2 linked regions of the Drosophila melanogaster genome follow. The protein of the gene in region 2 interacts with the protein of the main gene of each other region in a pairwise test. Each region holds a gene or a part of one and is shown on either strand. Other genes may lie near its edges. The genes, in order: yellow-g and NT1.

Evidence for each region.
Region 1: the proteins of NT1 (region 2) and yellow-g interact in a two-hybrid assay, tested with the Drosophila melanogaster proteins (one large-scale study listed by BioGRID).

Annotation. Positions count from the first base shown.
Region 1 is NT_037436.4:2,267,146-2,277,264, forward strand, and holds yellow-g (yellow-g), read right to left. Parts: upstream 5,625-10,119; 5' UTR 5,547-5,624; coding exon 5,106-5,546; intron 3,995-5,105; coding exon 3,798-3,994; intron 3,364-3,797; coding exon 2,820-3,363; 3' UTR 2,736-2,819; downstream 1-2,735. Other genes in the region: CG13806 (uncharacterized protein), read left to right, coding at 1-322; obst-I (obstructor-I), read left to right, coding at 725-1,384; CG32302 (uncharacterized protein), read left to right, coding at 1,695-2,636; yellow-g2, read left to right, coding at 9,453-10,119.
Region 2 is NT_037436.4:4,499,458-4,512,137, forward strand, and holds NT1 (neurotrophin 1), read right to left. Parts: upstream 8,977-12,680; 5' UTR 8,604-8,976; exon of another isoform or gene 8,492-8,603; intron 6,446-8,491; 5' UTR 6,399-6,445; coding exon 5,943-6,398; intron 5,852-5,942; coding exon 4,947-5,851; coding exon of another isoform or gene 4,943-4,946; exon of another isoform or gene 4,828-4,942; intron 4,723-4,827; coding exon 4,591-4,722; intron 4,222-4,590; coding exon 4,075-4,221; intron 4,008-4,074; coding exon 2,519-4,007; 3' UTR 2,195-2,518; downstream 1-2,194. Other genes in the region: CG13720 (uncharacterized protein), read right to left, coding at 1-981; Tie (Tie-like receptor tyrosine kinase), read right to left, coding at 11,779-12,089. UniProt on the Drosophila melanogaster protein: Neurotrophin which may function as a ligand for the Toll-related receptors Toll-7 and Tollo. Binds to Toll-7 and probably acts as its ligand in promoting motor axon targeting and neuronal survival in the central nervous system (CNS).

The sequences.
Region 1 (10,119 bases), 2.2 Mb from region 2:
CCTGAACGACACCATCGTCATCTACCCCTCGCTGCACAGGTGCAACGATGGCGAGACCTTCGTGGACTACGTCTGCCGCAGCGGATCGAATGTCCTGCCGCCCAGCACCGATGATCCTTCGGTGATCATCGAGGATCCCAACGACGACGACTTTTCGGTGCTGCCCAACACCTGTCAGCACGTGGGCTTGATGGCCGATGGAAACGACTGCCGGAAGTACTACTACTGCTCGGCTCTAAATGGCACCCTGCGGCACATGGACTGCCCCAATGGGACTTACTACCGACCGGAGCTATCCTCCTGCGTCCTGGGAAGCTGCTGAGGAAGATGCATTCCTGCACTTTATTTATTCCTCTTCAATGGATTACATTTAATAAACAACTCATGTTTACCCTGGAATAACAATCTATTTGACATGAATTTATGAATTCCCATTTCAAAAGGTATCAGTTTGATAATAAAGATTCAACCACCATGTCCGTGGGTAATTAAACCAGAATGAGTTCTTTGTTTTTTTCCAATAAAAGTGCAATAGAAATGGACTAGTACTGTCTTGGTTCTTTCTTGCTAAGAGTGCTGTGACTAGGTCATAAATGTTCCATAGAATGTTTTTTTCGTGACAACATTGCAGTTTATCTATTAATTATACCGAAACATTCTGCGTTTGGTTGTGAGGTACTATATAAGGCGGAGTGTGAAGAGGTCTACTTAGAAAGTTTGCAACATGGATTCATCTCGCCTGATTATCTGCCTCCTAACTTTTCTGTTGTTTCAAACGGGAAAAGGGTTGGGGAACGGCAGTTATCTGGAGCTCAGATTGGATGCAGCTGCTGAATCCTGTCCAGATGATTACTACTTTAACGAAACTATCCAAGCCTGCGTATCTACAGACACTACCAGCTGTACCAATCACCAAATCGGCAAATGTCCGATGGCCACAGAAATGGACGAGTTTTGCGTGTGCAAAGATAAGCACCTTCAGATCTGGAAATGCCCTGAAGGAACCTACTTCGATGCCAACCGATTGGTCTGCCGGGTGGGAAGCGTTGAGTGCCAGGACGATTATACTCCATCCCCATGTCCTAACAGCACGGCAAGCGATGTCTTCTGCCTCTGCATCGATGGCAAATGGCATCTTAACTACTGTCCAACGGGCTTTACCTTTGATGACGAGCTGCAGATTTGCCTGAACACAGGATCTGATGACGACGAGTTGCCCAGTTCGTCTGGAAAGTGCCAGCGGCTTGGATTGTTTGGTGATCCCGCTGACTGCTCTGGGTACTATCATTGTCGCGAAAAGGGCAGTGATATTGAGTATTTCAGATGCTCGGTAGGAACCATCTTCAATCTAATTTCCTTTGCGTGCGTTACTGGAACTTGTTGACCCAACATATTATAGTTATTGTAGCTAGCCTATCTTGGAATAAAACTGATTAAAACTGATTAAACTATTTTCAATGAATTCCGGATTTATCAGTTCGCAGTTTCGATGATACTCTTCGAATAATTACAATTTTAGCTACGCTTAGTAAGTTTTCTAAATTTATTATTACGTCGTAAAATTTTGGTTCTTTATCAAATCGATAATACCTAGAGAAGCTTATCTGTTTAATTAAGAAAAAGACACTTGCCTGGCTGATTAGGTGGTGCTATAAAAGCTAGTCCCGCAGATGACCCAGCCAACAGTCTTCAAGATGAGGTCTTCAGTACCGGTTTGTCTAATCCTGCTCGCTCTGGCGTTGGGATCGGCGTGGGCTAATGATAATCCCTGCCAGGATGTGCGCATTCCCGGCTTCGTTTGCATGAACTGCACCACCTTGGGCTACTGCATCCGCGATGCCACCGGCAGCTGGGAAACGATTTCGATGCTGGGCTGCCAATCGGAGTACAATTTCTATTGCAGCGACGAGGGTACCTTCGGATGCACCTTCCAGTCGCAGTGCCAGGTGCCCAAGAGAGGTCCCTTCAGCTGTCAGCAGGCGGGCCTGTTCCCGGATCCGTACGACTGTAGGCGGTACCACGAGTGCAGCGATCAGAGTGTGGACACCCCTCGCATCTGCTCCAACGGAGCGGGCTACTCCACACTCACGGGCACTTGTGTTCTGCCACGGGAGAGTGAGCAGTGCATCCAGGAGCAGTTCACCTGCAGTCGGTCGGGACAAGTGGGTGGATGGGCGCCCGACAATCGGTACTTCTACGTCTGCGTCAATGACACGGCCAATTCGCTGTATCCGCTGATGATGAAGTGCCACGAGGGATTCGTTTTCAACAGCTACAGCTGTGTGCCCGACACCAGGAGCATGAGGAGCATTCAGGCGATGGAGTCCCACACGTGCATGAACAACGATAGGTACCAATGCCCCTTCCGAACCTCTGAGATCGAGTACTGCAAGTGCGTCGATGGAGAACTGGAGGTGATGACCTGTCCCGCCGGCTTCCAAATTGATCCTAAGATCCTGACCTGCGTGACTGATAGGATCTATCAGTGCTCGGACTTTGAGATCCTCAGCTGTCCCAATGTCTCCACCAAGGATGAGTACTGCATATGCATCGATCACCAGCTGCAGATCTACAGCTGTCCAATGGGACAGTATTTCAATGCTGAGACTCGAAAGTGCCAATCAGAGTCAGAGTAATGAATTGTTTTCATGGTACCAATATTGATTCAAGTAAATGCCTATTTAAAAAATTGAAATCATTCTGAACATTTTAAGATAAACTACAAATAACTATAAATATTCACCAAAATTTTAATGAGACCCAGTAACGACAACAAATCAGTTTGAATCTTAAGCCTAAGAAAGTGGAGGGATACGGACTCAATCGTCACATTCCCGCACCACAGGATGCAGGACGATCGAGGCTCCGTTGCAGCCCGTGCGATCCGAGATGAAATCGTGGAAGTTGCTCTCCAGCGCCCACATGAATCGCTTGTGACCCGGGAGCACTTGGGTGGACAGCCGGCAGTCGCCTCCCCGCTGCACCTCCTGCAGATTGGCGGCCTTGAAGCAGGTCTCCGAGTCCCACAGGTAAATGTCGTTCTCGCCCTTGTAGCGGAAGAAGAGCGAGGTGCCGCCGTCGGCGCCCAGCAGCACCGCCTGTTTGCCATAGGGCTTGGGGCCCACGTCGATGATGGAGCCCGCTCCCTGGCCAACGCGCAGGTACTCGCCCTTGATGGAGTACAGACGGGGGGAGCTCAGGTAGCTGAAGAACAGGGTGGAGGTGCCGTCCGGCTTCGAGGTGAGCGCCACGTACAGCACATCGCTGGTGGGGGCGGTGGCCTTCGGCAGGACGATGCGGTAGGACTTGTTGCCGGTGATGTCGTATACCAGGATACTACGTGCTCCAGCATCGGCCACATAGCTATGGTTGAAAGTGAAGGAAATATAATGTGGAATGAGATTAGATATCATGTATGCAATACAAATCGATTTTATTTGGTATATGATGAGCCACACTTCTGAGAACTACCTTGAGCAGATAAGATATGAGCCTCAAAGTGGCTAATGCCCTTTTGATTGGCTCAATGATCGCTGATTGAAAGCATGATTGAAAGTGTGTGGTAAAAGTACTCCAAACTCTTGATTCAGTTCGATGATTTCAACGAATATTTTATGACTGCAATATGAATCTCTGAATATCATTGTGCTGATAAATAATGGTTAGTAATAATGGTTAATAATAATGTAATGTGTGGTATTAATTTCATAGTTGATGTATTTCAAAAAGTGATTAAGTACAACTCATTTCACAGATGAAGTTAAGGGTAATAAAAGAGTATAGGCAATGGAACTCACACGAATGGCTTGTTGTCCTTGGAGTAGTCGACCACGATGAACTGCAGCCGACTCTCGGAGGTGACCAGGTCGCTGAGGTCGATGCTCTTGACCACCTTGTGGTTGGCCGTGTTTATGGCCACGATCTTGGGACTGCATCTGCGGATGGGCTGCTCCAGGGTGTTGACAATGCCCACGTCCAAGGCCCACAGAAGTCCCTGCGAACGGAGAAGGCAATTATTAATTGCTATCAATTGCAGCTCGTGTTGATTGTTGTTAATGTTTTCATTTGGCGGCTAATTGAAATGTTGGCGGCGTTAAAAATTCCACATTCGCAAATATGTGGCCATAAAATGAGTATCAGCGAAAAGCACTGAATGGAAAATTGCGCAAATAAATAAATACAGTCGCCTCGTTTGTTTGCCGTTTGTTATTGTTTCGTCGACTTTTGTGTAAATAAAATAAAGAAATGATTTGCATAAATGCAGCTAAACGGGAATGGCATTTAAATGAGAACGATTCGACGCCAACAATAATTGAAGGAAATTATTAAGTTGCAGCTTATGCTCGCAATCGTAAGTAGGTCATGTAAATATTTAATAGCATCATTGTAATATCTGCGAATGCATCTGTCATTTAAAATTAAAGCTGAGAACTTCTGAAGTGCAATCGAAATGCACAAAACACGGCTGGATGGCCTGTTCCCAGCATTTCCAAAATTATTTTCGAGAACTTTTCACTGCATTTGCTTGTCACTTTTCAGCTGCAGTCCTTGTCCTTTATAATATTCCATTTACCCCACAGCTTTTTCGGCGTTTCCGTATCCGTTTATTCTACCCTTAAATTGCTGCCGCCAATTGACGGGCATGAATTTTATTTGGAGCTCTTCACTTTTGTGGCCCCGTTTATTTGATTAAAAAAGTAATATTTGGTCGACAGCGAGGCTAACCAATTAAAAAAGTGCGTCCGGCAAGGGGTTAATGCGAAAACGATACCCTGGAGCTAAACTCCCGATTTTGATCGACTTTGTAAGGGCTAGCAAATATTTAACACTGCGACTGCACATCAATATCAATATCAGAAGATAAACTAAATCATTTTTAGAAAAAAAAAGTGAATAGCCCTAAGAGCATTTCAATGCTACCCTGTAATCCACCCACGATACAAATATGAATTAAACATTTGGTGTGGGTTAAAGTGCTATGCCTCCATGGTGGCCAACAACGAGCAGTCCGTAATTAAAGGCAGAACTGGCAGTTTGGACGAGACAACTTGTCTGACCCCCAAAAAAAAAATGGTCCAAACAATACTGGCGTTAATTGCACTCACATTCTGATCGACGGCTATGTCCACGACGGACTGCAGCGCCTGGCAGTTGCCCTCCTCCTGAATGGCCCAGCAGGGATAGGGTGCGATCTTGGTCAGGCACTCGCCCTTCTTTAGATTGACCTTGCCGAGAGTGAAGGGCACGCCCTGCTTGTACCTGGGCAGCGCCACGAAGGCGGAGTCCCGCTGCAGTTGGGCCCGGGTCACGATCACGTTACGGGGCACATAGCGGCCGGACTGGACGTAGATGTTCTTGGTGGACTCGCAGGGCCAGTGGAGGCTGCTGCCGCTGAGCTGGAAGGTCAGTTCGTTCAGCGGGTTCTTGTCGCACTTGGTGCCGCCAATGGAGTTGGAGGCGTCCGTCGACTCGTCGGTGGAGGAGCTGTATCCCGCGAGGACCACGGAGGCCGAAGCGACGAGGAGCAGCAGTTGCAGCTGCGACATTTTTCGGCGTTTCTTTCTGCGCTTTCCACAAACAGAGCTTCTGCACTCGATTCACCACGTTGGCCAGAACATAAAACTGTCTGAGCGATGGTAGACCTGCATTTATATATAATACCCAACGACTTATGCAGCCAGCATGTGGAGCGTGTTGCGGCAAGGTCGTTGGTTGCTTGACACGGGGGGGAACAAGTGTCTGTCTGGAGTGGCTACCACCCAGCCAGCACGTCTGGCCCACGCCGGAAGTCGGCCAGACCTCTAAGCCCGCTCGGTTTCTAAGCAATGCGGAAAGCGATGCGGAAATGAAATGCAAACTTAACCCCTTCCCTCTATCTAGATTACACGATTCTTCCTAAGCCATCCAAATCAAATTTAACTCCCCTGGTTTTTACTTTAATTGTCTTGATAACAGTTTGTTCTATTATGGCAATCTATGCCTGTCTAATTAATCACTTCTACTCCTTTTATTGCTCTTATTTTCTGAGTATAACTTTGTGCTATTATAGCCATTTATAGGCAGCTAATTAGTCACTCAAGTCCGTTCAATAAAATGGGTTCAAGTTGCGAAATAGCTTCTGTCACTCATCGATCGCTCTTGTGCATCCGACAGAGTAGCAAGTTTCACCCCTTGGCAGGCAAAGTTCAGAGGTCGCTGCGAAACACTTGCCAAAGTGGCCCAAAAGTTCAATATCAATGCTGACGTCTGTGACCTGCATATCTGCGACCGAGAAAGTTTCAGTTTCTTGGCTCGAGTTACCAGCTATTTTCGGATGACAAAAACATCTGTCAGTCCGTCCGTCTGCAGCTAGCTATCAGTTTGCTTTTGGGGGAGGGGGCGGGCGAAAGGAGAAAGTTCGGGGAGTTGGTGGGGCACATTACTCGCAGATAAGATTGCAAGTTGCCGGAGATTCGTCGTGTGAATCACACCCACAGTTTCGCGGAACAGTCACTCTGTTCCAAATTGATTTCATTTCTATTTTAAGATAAATGCAAAGGCGAAATTTTATCGCATCAGGGAACTTTAAAAGGCGCTCTGAGTTCGCCATTTTCAAGTCGGGGGTATAGCTCAGGGGTAGAGCATTCGACTGCAGATCGAGAGGTCCCCGGTTCAAATCCGGGTGCCCCCTGGAACTACATTTTTTGCCATATTTTTTTTTGTTGGCTGCTCAAGTCTCTTTGTGGACTTTGGTGGACTTTTTTGCACGTTGATTGCGGGGGGATTAGAGGTGTATCCGCCCGACGTGGTCGATGACCCCGTTAACTCGTAGAAACCCACATATCGCCAAGCGGCGAATAAAAAATCTTTGACACATTCGGGCAAGCGGTGGAGGAGTCGGTGTCCAGCTGAAGAGTCTTTTGTTTGGGACAGCTCGTGCAGCGAATTATGGACAGCACTGGGCTTACATTAAATCACAAAATGTTTAATCTCCTTACAGCTGCCCATCATCAAATGACCATCGGCGGGTCAACATTTTGATAACCCATTCATCGGGGGTCAGACTGGCTGCTCCTTCCGCATGGCGGAATGGGAAGGGTCTGTCTATAATGCCAAATTACATGCAGATTGAATTTTTGTGAATTCCGATTCAATAAACTGCCATGGGTCCAAACCCCCCTTCCCACGATCGTAATCCCCCGATTTATGGCACACACATGCCCAAAAGCAGGCGGATGTGATAAGTGCTGTGATATGTGGGCGGGATTGTCAGTCGGGCCGAATCTGTGGATAAATATTTATGTGCTCCAACATAAATAAAAGCAAAGTATGCAAATGGAAATTTGACGATGCTAAGACTCTTTTACTCTGCAAAAACAGCTTACAGATACGATTATGGCAAAGCTTGAAATCAGCAATCATTTATTCATCTCTAGACTTTAAATGATTAAGATATCAAAATCGACCATTCACAATAAAATTGTGTATTGAAACTCAACAAATTTGGCAACATATTCCATGGATAGTGTATTTGTGTATTTGTGGGAACTGTCCGCACTCATTTGGAAATATTTTCTCCTTGATATCGACAGATGCGTTTAAATGGCAAATGTAAACTCATTGATAGCACATTGGGTGCAAAAAGTGAATGTTTCATATGCACACACAGTAGCAGCGGGTTGCCAAGAGCAATTTGTCGGATGAATTCAATGAATTCAATTATTGCAAAACAATTAAACCAAGATGGGCCACTGGATAAAGGCAATAATTTATGGCGATTGCAAAAGGTTGAGAGCCAATGTGGACAACTTTAAGCAGACGTAAACAAAACTTGGCCGACGAAAGAAAGCCAGCAAAGTGAAAGCAAAGCACATAAATTAGGCGAGCGGCCAAAAAATTATGGGAAGATTAACTTTAAGCGCAGCTGATGACTTTTTAATACCCTGTACTACAACTGTAAGCCCCTGAAAACTTTCTGTGATAACCAATTTAAATCAAATTACCTATATATTACCTATAGCTAGTTAACTATAACTATCATAAAAATACTATTTTAAATGACGTTATTAATCCACCCTGGAGTTCAGCATTTCCAGAAAAGGTTGGTCTGAATTTATGTGAAATTCCCGGTAAAGAAAATCGCTTTCCTCAGCACAAAGTTAAAAAAGCATAAACCTCATTTGGCCCATTTACCAAAACAAATCAAACGTGACCACAGACAATTTTTTTTTTGTACATTTTTCCGCTGCTGCGGGACAAAAAAAAAGAACGACAAATTATTGGCTTATTTGCGTTTTCAATTGGATTTTTATTGGCACACATATAAAAAGTTGAACTTTGCTTTGTTGCGCAGCGCGTTTTAAAGAAGTCGCACATAATCCCCCGACTTTGCAGATGACGCATACGCCCCGTTAACGGGCCATAAACAAGAACTGTCAATGTAATGTGTGGAGAACGTCCTGCGGAATGTCTGGCCATGGTTTTGCCGAGCAGTGAGTGGAGTTTCCCCAGCTAATGGGGGTCAGTCGGCAGTCGTCCGGCAGTCTCTTATCTACCCCCCAAAACTTTTTTGTTGCTGGGAGGTAAGTGTTTACATAAATTATGTCAGATGAGCAGCCCGGAAATGCTTGTCATCAATTTTTTGCGCTCCATCTATGTATGTATATGTATATATGTGCGCTTGTCTCGTATAAATCATTCTGGTGGGTGGGGAAAAAGCCAACCGGAATGCGGGTTTCGGCTGACAATTTAACATGCCAAACACGTTGGTTTTGGTTTGGGGCGATTCCGGGTTGTCTGCCCGTATCGAGGGCCTTAACCTATTTAGGGGCAATTATGGTGATGGAAATGGCGAAATGGCCCAGGAATTCTGCAGGGAAATCCCGGGGATGCTGAGATTTTTCTTTCACTCCTTCAATCACTCTTTATGGGCCAACTTATGGCTGGCAAAATCTCAGATTGAGGTCATTTTGTTGCCCGCAATTAATTAGCTAAAAATATCGCCACCAATCTGGAGACACTTGTTGGGGTTCCGTTTTCAATTGACTGCAATAATTGCAATGCCATTTTTATGGTCGATTGGATAATTGCGGGAGGAATGTGTCCTTCGCCTTGGTCCTTTGGCTCCATTCGAAAACTTCCCTGGCTTCTGTCCTGGGAATGGCTGGCTTTTAGTTATGTAATGGAATTGAAACTATTCAATTAATGTATACAAGTTCATATTAATAGCACAAGTTAATGATTTAATTTCAGTCATAAATGTCATTAGTTTTTACCATCGTTTACTGGTTAACTCTTGCCAAGGTCATAAAGTTCGCAAAAAATCAGTTTAAAAGCTAAGAATTGGGTGCGAGGCACGTTGCCGTCTTGTGGTCAAATTCTATGGGCTGTTGGGTTATATAAGCACGCCACTTGGCCAATTTGGGGAGCAGAACGCGCACGTCGCTGCCGCACCATTAACAATTGCTTCCACGATGAGACTGCACTTGGCCCTGATCCTTGGATTTTGCCTAGTTGGCTGGGCCCGCTCGCAGGGCACCAAGTACGGACTGTGGACTCCGGATCGGGCGCACTCCGATTCTCAGCCCATCCAGTGGACGGGCGGGCAATTCGAGTTCCCATGCGCCAGTACCAAGTCGCTCTTCAAGAGCTCCGGAAAGTTTATACCCAAGAATGTGATTGCCACGCGGGCGCAGCTCATTGGAGACACCATCTATCTGGCTCTGCCGCGCTACAGGAAGGGAGTTCCGGCCACGCTGGTGAAGACCAGTATCAAGCCGGGCACCTGCTCCACCACCTTTAAGCCCTATCCCTGCTGGGACCTCCAGGAGGAGGGCAACTGCAAGGCTCTGCAATCGGTGGTGGATCTGGTGGTAGACCAAAACGAGGTGCTCTGGGTCTTGGACACGGGCATAGTGAACACTCTGGAGACTCCGGTGCGCAAGTGCCCACCAAAAGTGGTGGCCATGTCGGTGAAGACTGGCAAGGTTCTGAAGACCGTCTCGCTGGAGGGCCTGACTTCCAGCAATTCCCGTCTCCAATATCTGGTAGTGGACTATGCTCCGGATGGCGGCTGCTTTGTCTACGTCAGCGATGCCGCCAATCGGGCCATCATCGTGTACAATCTCCAGGCGGATCGGG
Region 2 (12,680 bases):
ATTGGCACTTGAAAACACTGATTTGCCAGTGGTTGTTGTTGTCGTCGTTGTCGCCTTGGTTGTTGCTGCTGTTGTGGTTGTTGCCTCTTTATTCCGGAAGTTGCGCCGCCTCTCCTTTAATTTTTCCCGCTCTGCTGACTTGTCGTGCTGTTTGAAAAGTCTTTGGCGACGTCGCCGATTGTCGCAGTTGGTTGCATTGCTGCAAATTGATGACCTCTTCACCTCATTGGTGACGCCCTCGTCGGGTAGATATTGTGTTGCATTTTTCAGTAGATCCCCAATGTGGGCCACCAACTTCAGGCCCTTTTGTACATCATAAGGTTCCTTTGACTTTACAGGCACATCCCTTCGGTTTCTTTTACTTCTCTTAAGCTCCTGATTGCGACTTAACAGTGCTTTTAGTCTTTGCTGCTGGCTTCGATGGTAAAGTTGCTGTTCCAGGGCCTTTTGAGCTATCAACGTGTGACTTTGTCGCTGGATATGTCGTTGTCTTACCAGCGGAAACTTTGCCTTTTGTCTTTGCCGCTGCAATAGACGCTCTGTTTTCCGCACAGAGGCCAAGATTTCCACGGGTATTTGTAGCTGATTAGGACCATTTTGAATCTGGGTTTCTTGCGTGAGGAGGTCTCCTTGTGGCATGATTTTCAACCTATTGGTGGCCAATTTCCGTGGTTGCTCCCAAACCACAGGTGGATTGGAAGGTTGCCGTTGACGCAGACGTTTCAGCTGCTGAAAGTGCTGAGGAGGCTCAATAATCCTGATCACATCTCCCGCATCATCATCGACGTAACCAGGACGTATGTCCTGCAAATGCGGTGGAACCCTGTTCTCCGGTTTCTTGTGCTCGGGCTTCGATACTCTATAAAGAGGAGGACTTGGAGTGCTACTGGAATCTCCTTCCTTGCTCCCACTATCCACTTTTATCGCCTGGCTTAGTTGTAAATAGAAGAGGAGCAAAAAGTATGTCCTTAGCACAGCCATTGCACTTTTACTCTCTCTATCCCAAGGTCGGGGGAAATGCAACTTTTCACTTTCGCGTTCGACGGCCAACCGACAACTGTGCAGTAAGTGTGCTATCATTGTGGCTTTATAACATTTCCTCGCCGTTTTTCCAATTTTCCAGTTTGATCACCGCGCCACGAGCCTTTCTTTCTTTCTTTCTTTCGTGACGAGATAGATGTTTTTGAAGTCGTCATCGTCGTCGTCATCGGCCGTTTGTTAGCTTCGGCCGCAAATGAAAGCGAATCTGGCCAGCCGAAGTGACGTTGCAAGTAGCTGCCAGATGCAAGTTGCAACGTTCAACGTCCAATGTTATAACTGGTCAAAGTCGGGGCTCAAGCCGTGTTTCGCTTTAGAAACCCACTTTGCATACGCCACAACGGTGGCTTGGCACATTGCAACTTTCTGGTTGCTGTGCAGAAACTAGTTTCTGTCTTGAATTCAGTTTTCGATCGTGTGGGTAAGTGTTTTTATTTTCGCAGTCTCGAATCTCATTAGTGCCCGCCACTTGACCCTCAACTTGAACTTCGCCGAAAGCCACTGATTTGGTATTTGTGTCATTTGGGCGAAAGGCAGAGCGAACGGTGAATTAATTTATGCACTGTCCATTTAATTTGGGTGTTTTAAAAATATGGGGAATAATGCGGTCTTTAGATGGGAATGATTTATGCGGACTTTGATATTCTATGGGAATATCTAATAGGAATAAATATATTCATGAGATTTTTTGTGAGTGGAAAAAAAATTTTTGTTTCTGTTTGTAATTTTAATAAATTCTTTGACTCTTCAAGGTACGTAATTAATTGAATTTTTAAGTAAACTTTTCATTGCAAATAATTGTATTTAAATCTTCTTCCAAACATCTACATTTGATTAAGCTGCAAACTATTAAATACTACAAATGTCTATATTAGTCACGTTTTAAATTAAAAAGCACCATAATTAACATTGAATTGTAGGACTTTATTTAATTGCCTTGTACTTGAATTTATTACAAGATTATATTATCAATAAAACAAAACAGCTCTTTTAATGGCAATGCCGTTGCGCATGCCTGTTTTGTTAACAGAAGTCAGAATTTTAAAAAGCGCCTAAAAGATGCTATAATATTTGTTCTGTTAGCTTCAGTGTTAACAGAAGTACAGTGAGTGTAAAAGTAAACTCGACACATTTCTTAAAGAAACAAACACGTGTTAAGATTTCAATAAATTATATTTATTGCTAGAACTCTCGTGACAAACCAACCAAGCTTTTGACCAATTGAACCTCCCCCAAAAACGAGGTCATCTCTTAATCTTTGCACTACACACTACAAAATAAATAAATAAATAAACATAGTTGGTTAAACATTAGAGTGGGTTTTGGGATAAATGGGGTTGAGATTAGGAGCCAGGTAGACAAACTACAAGATTAGGCTCCTGGCGAGAACGGCAGAGACTACGAGCTAAGGCATCGGCGTTAATACGTTAGATTTCGGGGATTTGAGGACTTTGATTTTGATGGACTCATGCGACTTAAGCTACTCCACAACCATGGGCAGCCAGGCGTTATCGCTAGCGAAACCAGCACCACCACCCACAGCACCTGCACCACCCACGCCACCGTTATGTGCCCGGTAACCCATACGCCTCTCGTGCGTTTTGGGCACCGGAATGGGATGTTGGTAAACTCCAGTGATTGTCTCCATGCCCAAGCCCATGCCATTCTGTTGAGATTTGGGGGAATTCTGCGGGAATATACGCTGCTCCACTATGCGGGACTCTTCTGCGATGGAACTGACTGTAGCCGCCGCCTCCGCCTTGCGATTCTTCTCGAAGAAATCGATAATGGGGTGGTAGTTATAGTTAATCCTCTTGCCCGACATCTCGCTGCCACCACCGCTGGGGAAGATCGAGCTCACTGGATAGACTGCCGGCGGTTGTGGTAGTGACGTCGACTGATCCCGCTCCCACTGAGTGGTGCGCTCGGTCGAAAGGGACGACGCTGACCCGGTAACCACTGCTGTGTTGGTCGTCGTGGTGGCTGGTGGTGCATAGAAGCGGGGTCGCGATTTGCTGCCACCTTGCCGGTTGACTGGTGAAGATGGTGGTGAGGCTGTTGGTGGTGCGCCTGGTGGTGCGATGGCACCTGCTTGATGGGCATGGGCGGCATGGGCAGAGGAGGCGCTGGAGAGGCCAGCACTGGCGCTGAAACCGGAGACAAAGCCGGATCCCGGACTAAGGGCAGCTGTTCCCGTTCGGGCTGGTAGACTTGTGGTCTGTGGAAATCGTAGGCGGACGGCAGCTCCTCCTGCGGGCGATGGTACTGAAGATGATGATGCTGATGATGTTGCGGTGGTGGGGGCTGTGTGGGTGGAGGCATAAATACGCTTGCGATTCAGCGGGATACGCGGCTTCTCTGCACCGCCGTTTGGTGGGCCAGCGAATAGGTTTACCTCTTGGTCCGAATGCGTCTCGCTTGGCGCCAAATCCAAGTCCAGACGCGCCTCTGAATGCTGCGGCCGCCGGCGGCTCACCTGGCTGTAATACTTCTTGGAACTGGAACTGGAGCTCTTGTATCCGCCATAGCGATCTTCGTCATCATCAGGGGGACTGAGATATGGACCCACACTGCTGCTAATACCAGGCAGCTTTACGCGCACCTTGTTACTGCTGGAATACAGTTCATTTGTCTCCCGATTGTTGAAAGAGGGATATCGAAGACCCAGTTCGTCCTCCTCGCTCTCTTCGGCATAGTCCAGATCCTCCTCGTTTATGGTACTATACCCATTATGACTATGATTTATGACAGGAGACTGGGGAGAGTAATCTTTGGCTTGTATGGAGGAGAGCGGTGGAAACTGCTGGCGATAACCATCCACTTGGCAGGAGCAACAGGTGGGCACCTTAAAAATATCCACATGGAGACCACGCACTTTGTCCCAACTTAATAGACGATGATAGTTGTACACCTGCGAGCAGTGGGAACGGTAAGTCTGCGCCAAGTAGGAACAACTCTCGACGGGATTACTGTTTATAAATGCAAAGATTGCAAGTTAATACCATGTTATTCAAGTGAAAAATTATTTTCACCCACCTGCATTTTTCCAATCTTAAGGTTTGCGTGTGCTGACCAGTGTTCACTATGTACTTCCATTCTCCTGAAGCTGACTTGGCCTTCTGGGGTCGGGCATAACGTACCACGCTCTGGCACATCCCACCTGCGCTGCCTTCGTCTTCACGCCTTTAATGTGAAAAAAAAAATGAAATATTTTACCAAAATTCACCGTCGAGCATTTGGCTTTTTAATTGGTCTTTTCAAAACTAATATAAAAGTATATTCCTACACATTGTTTTTTTTCATTGGTTTACGAAATATAATGCCAATATAACTGATAAAAGTGTAATAAAATTTGTGTGACCTAATATATTATTTTATTATCATAACTTTGTGAAGAAAATGACTTTATGTGGCTTATGCTCATATGATTCAACGACAATTTCAATATACAATTTCGAAATGATCACGTTTCCTAAAACTTTTATAGTCAAAACTTATGTTATGACATTTATTGTCAGTTATTTGCTATCTTTGATGATCTTTTTCACTTACCTCTTTTTGCTCAGGCTGAAGTCATCGAAGTCATCACTAAACTCCAGATTGTTATTGGGCTTGTCGTAGAACTCGGCCAATAGAGCGGACATGGCGTTTTTGTGACGCCTAATGCTGCCCATGATCTGTTCACTAAGATTTCAAAATAATATATGCAGTTTCCAACGGTAGACTTCATTCAACAACTCTAACCAAAACCAATAACTAAGCATAAGTGCAAGGGAAAGTTGGGCAAGTGTGATTCATAAATTAAAGTTTTATTATGGCTAAAATTCGGACTAAACTAGAGCTAAGGACTATGGACCGGAACCAGGACCCTGGGAGTACCGCTCACCAACTAGCTACGGGAATCTTACAGCGGATAGTCGTCGGTTCGGATGCACATGTTGCTGGTGAATCGTTCGCATTTCTTGTTGGGTGGTGTAACCACGGGTTTATGGGAACTGGCGGCGGTCTTCGGTCTTCCCCTTAAGGAGGATGTGACTCTCTTTCGTTTGATGGGAGATCCAGATTTTTGACCAGGCAGTGGTCTTTTCCCCAGTCGGTAACGTGGTCCAGCGATGAGTTCCTCTGGACTTGGTAGTGGTTCCTCAGTCTCCTCGGCGCTGTTTCTTTGCAGATCTAATCGCTCATCAGCGCTCAGGGGGATTTCCGTGCCATTAAGACCAGCAAAAGCCAGATCCTCCACCTCAGAGTATGACTGGCCACCATTGGAGGAGGCCATCTTCTCCTCCTCCTGGCTACTTGGCTGTTGAAAAGCTGTGGTATTCAGCTTGATGGTACGTCCAGCAATGCCACCCAAAAGTTGCTGCTCGGTCACAGAAGCAGGCACGGATCGGGTCAATTTGTGAACAAACTCGTTTGCCGATCGTCGAACTCTTTGACCATGATTTTCTGGTTTAAAAGTCTTGGTTTTGTTATCATGAAGATCACCTGTCAGGGCCTCATTGATCATCTGAGGATCAAGCACTTCTGACCCCATCTCATCAAAGAAGTCCTCTAGAGACTCCAATTGCACCTCCTCAGTAGAGACCTTTTTTGGCTCAACTTCCACAGCAATGGTGCCCAATTGGTCATCCTGTTGGGACTCTTCTGGAGTCAAATCATCTTCACGACGATTGATGGGAGTATGGTAAAGGGCAGATGAAGCCAGATCAGAACCCAGATTGATGTACTTGCGGGTAGAGCTCTTTATGAGATTTGCGATGTCGAACACTATGGGCAAAAGCAGCTTTTTTTCATTGCCAAACATCATGCGAACCTGATTAAATTAGAAAAATCATTAGCCAGTTTTTTTTTTTAATGCAATGTAATGTAAAATAATATTTTTTTAAAAACGTTCTCAAACACACCTGTTCAAACTTTAGTTCGTGCCCCTTTTTTGCATTCATCTGAGCCGAGATCAAAGCGGAAAGAGCCAGGCGCTGTTGAGAAGATAGCATTCTTAAAATGGGCAAAACTTCGGCGAACTTCTGGCGCAATCCCTCATCCGCCAAGGCTTTGGCCAGAGCGTTTCTTAAAACCCTTTCTCGCCAATCGAAAGGTGGTAATTGTTTCTCCGGCTCCGGTTCATCCAGATCTACGCTAAAGTCCAGCATATTCGACTCCAACTTCTTTTCGGCCTGCTCCGCCTTTTTTGCCTCCTCCAGATCATCCAGCTGCCAGTCCTCCATAGCAGCATCATTTGAATCCGCAAAATCAAAGTCCATCAGCTCATCGTCGGCGGAGTTCCCACTGACCAGATCCAGATAGAGCACACAATAGAGCAGAGCCCAGAAAAGGCAGCCGAAGGCGCGGCCAGCTTTCATTTTCACTCTGGCTTTATTTTCTTGGCTTTGTTTTTAATTGCAGTCGTCTGCGAATGACAAAAGGCAAAGGAAAGTTAAAGCGAGGGGGCGGTCACTGCTGGTTATTAAGTTGGATTTAATTTTCCGAAATATCAGATGAATGTCGTCTTATTAATTGTTTATTTATGACTATAGTGCACCTCAGACGACACTCGCACGCTTTCAAAAAAAAAAACAGTTTATGGCTTATTCTTAGACGGGTTCAATTTGTCTTGGCAAATTCAAAACCATTCATATTTTTGGCTTTCCATCGAAAGCAAGAGTCATTAACATGAGCGTAAACTATTACGACCGTGCAGCAAGAGTCATAACAGTCATCTTGGCCAGGCTATTACAGCAGCACAGTCGTCTCCGGCTTTAGGTAATCGCACTCAGCCATCGGCGTCGTCATCATGATCTTCACTGTCATCTCAGTTGACTGCCCAACAAGGCGTGAAGCACCGAAGCTGCTCTGGTTGTTGCTATTTTTACCATTTTAATGTGTATTTTCGCGCACGGGGTTATGACTCCTGACTAAACTGGCCGTTTTGCGGTAATATGGCATCCCATCCAAAGGTCGGGTGATTGATTTGACTGCGCTTTAGCTTCCTATCATCATGATGAAGACATTTGTCAGGCTAAAAGAGCTCTTCCCTCTTCCCTATGAACTTGGTTTTCTCTTCTTGTCTATGCAAATGTGTTCAGCACAAAGGAAAGTCTTTCTTTCATTTTGTTCGTTATTTATATAGTCGACTACCCCAAGGAGCCGACAAATCTGAATGCTAACAACACCCAAGCCAGGAAAACTCCTCCGAGGCAATGGCTATACCAGCTGCATCGATGTTATGACCTTTTGTGCAGATGAAAAGTGAAAATTTGGCTGCAGCAGCGGCAAACAGTTGACAGTTTAGAAAAGGCAGCCAAGGCCAGCATGAAAACTTATGGCGGACGTGGGCTAGAGAAGATTGTCCAACGATTCACGTCTCTTCGGGCACCCAAGGCAAGGCAAATAATTGAATGAAATGATGCGCACAGTTTGCGATGCACGAACGTGAGGATGCTGCCGTTGTCAAGATGCAGGCAGGCTCGATGTCTTTAATTTATCTCGCACACCTGCGCGCAGAAGACCCCGCTAATGGATCCTACGAAAGGGGAAGAGAGATGGCGGCGCTTCTGGTTTTTGTGTGGCCTTTGCATTTACGTATAGATACTTTTTTGACGCTGGGAAAGCGGCATAGTACGATAAATCAAATTAAGCCAATAAGTCGCAGCCGTTTCCCATATATGCCAACCATTATTTCGGTTCCCAGGCATCCCAGTAATTTCGCGTGGGTGCCATTTGCAAGAAAGCAAATACAAATTACAGACGAAAATGGGAATGGCAATGGGTTGCATTTGAAGATGCTGCACTCCGCTTGCATGCGATCTCTCGGCAAATTCTTTGGCCACTTTAATTAACTTGTAATTTGCGTGCGTTGCGCAGACAACGAAACGGGGCCAGTCAAAAAATAAAAAAAAAGGCAAAAGAAAAACAAACGAGACGAATTGAAGAAAACAAATTAAAGCGCTGCAAATGAGAGGAGAAGCATCTGAAAGCGAAGCGCAAAGCAAGAAAGTCGCACTGACAATCTCCGCAGAATCCTACTAAGCAGACTAAGCAGCCTCAGAAGCAACTAGGTGCTAACCGACTAACCTAGTAAGCGAACCCGCTGAACCACTAACCACCAACAGCTGTCGAGCTGTATTGGACAGATCGGGGATCAATATCTTCATCGCATAGGTTTGGCCATCCGAACTGACATATAAATTCCCAACCAACTTACTGGGCCCTAAACGAAAGACTTAAGACACAAACTTGACGACCGCCGAAAAGCGGCAACTCATATCAATAAACGAACACACACGCACACGCTTAAACAGCGCGGACTGACACAATTTCCTCGGGCGTAAAGAATAAAACGAATTCAAATTTTTGTGCGTCGTTGTTGTTATTGTTGTTGGGTGTAAGCGCTTTTTTGTTTTCGTTCATTTAGAAAGTTGTTTCCATTTCACATATTTGGCTAAAATACACTCACAAATGAAATGCTATTTTAAAATTCCAATTTCGATTTTGTTTCTTGTTCTCCGCTTTGCGCTCTAGTTTTTTATGATTAATTTATAAAGCTAAAGCAGAGCTTCAGAAATCACCTCAGATCAGCTTGTCTTCAGTCCACTGTTCTTCTTTTTTTTTTTGTTCTCCAAGCCACTCCCTTCTCCAGTCTTCCGAGCTTCGATATATGTATTTAGCTTGATCACTGTTTATTTCCTGTTGCGGCGCAAGAACCGAGTTTCCATTCCACTCCACTTTGCATAGATAATTTTCACTTTTATAGGCTCATTGGCTACCGCCTTCGCTGATTTTCACACTTTTCACACGCGCCTTAATTAACAGAAATTTCTACTTTGCCACACTTCTTGAGTCTGTCCGCTTGGCATTCACCTTCGTTTTGCTTTTGAGACAGCTTTTTATTTTTTCCGCCTGCTACGTCTGAACGCTTTCAACACTCGCCGCAAACTGATTTGCTGCCTCAACTGCTGCTTACTGCTTCTTTACCTACCGCTTTTGCTGCTGCTGCGGTTGTTGTTGCTGCTGCTGCTGCGGCGACTTTGGCTCAGTTGGCGTTCTGGACCCATTGCAGTAAATCCAACTTAGGTGCGTGCTTGTGCATTAAAAAGTGCGCATCGGCAAATTGCATTTCTTGTGCAGTTCGCAAGTTCATTGAACCGTTAGTTGGTTTACATTTGCATATCCATGCATGTGAAATTAATTAACGTTTAGAGCGGAAGTTTGCCTATATTTAAAACTGTATGTAGCAGCCTCGTCTGCCCAGTTCGTGTCTTCAGTCATTTGTTTTGGCACTGGGTCAGGAAGCGATTTGTCCAAAACGGAAGCATGCTAAACGGCGTATCTAAACTGCTTTCTATCGGCATCATTAGCCACGAAAACCACTTTGACCACTTCATCAGGCGTTACGGCCGCCCGCGAGGGTCAGCCCCTAAAGTTAAGGAAAGAAAATTAATTTCCAGCCACGGCACTTTCGTTTTTCAAAACAACAGCCCTCGGTAGCAACTTTGGGCAGGTGGTTAGCGCCTCCGCCTGCTTTTCAGCCACCGAACAGTGGGACAAAATTTAGTCGTGCAAATTTTTATTTTATCTTTTAATGCATAGCAACACAAGTTGATATCCTTGTAAACTATTCAATATATATTATATATCATAGCCAAATACATGCCTAATTTTATTAAGATTAGCATTATTAAAATCTAAAATGAAAATTTAGGATTGAAATAATTTTTTTTATGTTCGTAAACTCTGATTAAATTGCTCCTATTTTTAGCTAATTACCTTATATCGTTTTGCACCCCACTGTGCAATGACTTTGACTTGCGTCTAATAACGACTTTTCGTGATTTTGACGTTTTGCTTTTTTGCGCTTTATTGTTATTTCTTCATCATTGGTTGAGTCCATAAACTATCGGCTTAACTGCTCCAGGGCAGTGGCAAGTGCATCCTCCCTCCGGCTTCTATGGCACTTTCAATGACCACTTAAAGAGCATTTTCTTCACACTTTCATTGGTAACCACAGCGGCAAAACGGTACCAGCTGAATTTTCATTTCATTTTCACGAGCACGCAATGTTTTTCAGCCTTTACGCATTTTATCTTAATGTCCATTTGTCGACATTACCGCATCGCTGGCCGTGTGTTTAATTGCAGCGTCATCAATCAAGCAACCATAGCCGAAAGTGTCCTCACTCACTCAACTTGGTTGCACTCGGTTATCCATGGTTTTTACTCGCATATCGTTGCAATTCGCTAGATTTTCCGCTACCGGCGTTCATCCCGGCTGGCCAACTTGCTGACCATAAAACATAGCGATGCACTTGGCTAATTTGCACATTAAATTTTTATTTTTATATTTATTTCTTTATTTTATGTTTGTTGTTATGTTTATTGTATGTTTGTGTTCCGGTCCGGTAGTGAAATATTACCTAGCACCGCAGTCTTGTCATTTCATCTGGCGATTGTTTAGCCTGCATCTTGTATAGTCCACTTGCTCTTGGAATATTTGTCGAGTGCATAAAAACATTGACATTGAAAATAATCAGGTTTGCCTTTTAAGTTCGCATTTCAGTTTAATATTCGAAAAACACGCCGTATAAGTTATAATTATGCATTCCTACGCCTCTTATTCTTGTCCGATGAAAACTCTTCGGCCAAAACAATTCCGGTTTTTAATTTAGTCATCTGTCTTCAACAACTTTTAAATTTGTAAAGTACCCGCAGGGGATTTACATAAAAATATGGTTCGACAAATATACGAATAATCATTAATTCAATGATTGTGGAAAAACGACTATTAAAACTTTAAATAAGTTTCAGATTAAGACTTTATTTCATAATGCAAATAATATCTCCAAAACTTAATTTGGTTCAAATATCTTCCAATAGATCTATATATATTTTTTAATACATTATAAAATTATCAAAATATTGATAAAAACCAAATTAAGTGCTTGTACTGTTTTAATATATATATTTTTCTTTTGAATTGCGCGCTCAGTTATTTTGAACCAGTTTTTTGGAACTAGTAAAGAGAAGCCAGACCTAACGAAAAAGCTGAAAGCTTAAATAAAAGTTAACATGATAACAGACAGGCATTAACAGAAATGCTTACCGTCTGTTTTCACCATGTTAGCTTAACATAATACATCATAATCAGTATTGCCACTACAATAAATTTCCATTTAAATTTATATAAAATAAAAAAAGCATTCAAATGGTGTAATATTCATAATTATATTTCGTCTTTAATTAATTTATTTGTACAATTCTATAGCTAGATTTCAATACAATTACATAGATCCTATGCGCTGCACGCCTAAATCAACGATTTATTTTCTTATTACTGACGACGGGGTTTCAAAGTTTCCTTTTGTGCAGTCAAATCTTGGCTACATCCAGGGGAAATAGCTCAACTCGAAGATGGGATTTTAGATACAGACTAGAAGAACTAAGTGACGAACTTTAAACTAAGCATAGGTAGCGCCATTCATTAATCGTAAGGCCTAGAACGTATTTTGTTGTCTCAACAAATAAATATTTACAATGAAAGAAACTTCCGGGGCATTCGAAATGGAAAATTAACAATAAAATACAAATAATACTGCTCGACAAGGACGTCGCAAGGAAGGAGAATTTCGAAAGATCTACAAGTGGGCAAATAGAGATGTGTGGGCGGTGGATGAGTTGTGGATGGATTGGTTGAGATGCACAGTTAGTTGGTGGCTCCTCGACCGGGTAGGGGTTGGCTCAGTCAGCGTCATATTTCGCACTCGAACTCCGAGATCCGGTGATTGAAGTACACCACTCCGTGCTCGAGATCCTCGCTAAACCCGCTCACGTCCATGTAATCCGAGGCCGCTGAGTCGTCGTCCACCCACTTGTGCAGTGACCTTGTGATCTCTAGTCTGGACTGGGCGAACGAGGGTCGCATGTGCGGCTCCTTGTGCCAGCAGCGGGACATCAGGTTGTAGAACTCGTGCCGGCTCTCCTTGGGCAGATCGGGCCTCAGACCCTGCGGCACCCGGCGGATAACCTCGCGTCCCGTTAACTGCGAGTACGGTGTTGATCCTGAAATGAGACATACAAAAAGGTAATATAATGCTTTAATAATCTGAAAACAGTTTCGTAACGATATTCACATTAAAGTTATTTTTAAATGTGTTAATTTAGCCTCAAAGCAACTGATAATTCCCAGTCAGTAAGTTTATTGATACGTGCCTGAGCTTAAGTCTCTTTTTTAATTGCACGCATAAAACAAAGCACAATTAAAATTATCATTGTGTAATAATCATTAAAATATAAATGTGCTTTTAAAATAGTTAGGAACAACTTCTAATAGAATATGCTCATTAATATATCGTAAATCGATATACTTCATAGACAAAATCTGGTTCTTTTAAAGAATAATGCTATCATAATATACTTTTGCCATTTCAATTTGAATTGATGGCTGATTAAATGTCAGGTTGATCAAGCGGATGTTTTTTATTGCTCTAAATTTGAATAGATCAATGTAAACGTTATTTCTGTCTAAATAAAACCATTTAGATCGAGATAAAACATCTTCAAAGGGGAAGATTTTTTGCTGCAGAATTAATGAAACACTCAACTCTCATATCTTGGGTTATAAAAACCCGGCGGAAATAGAGTAGTGGTCAT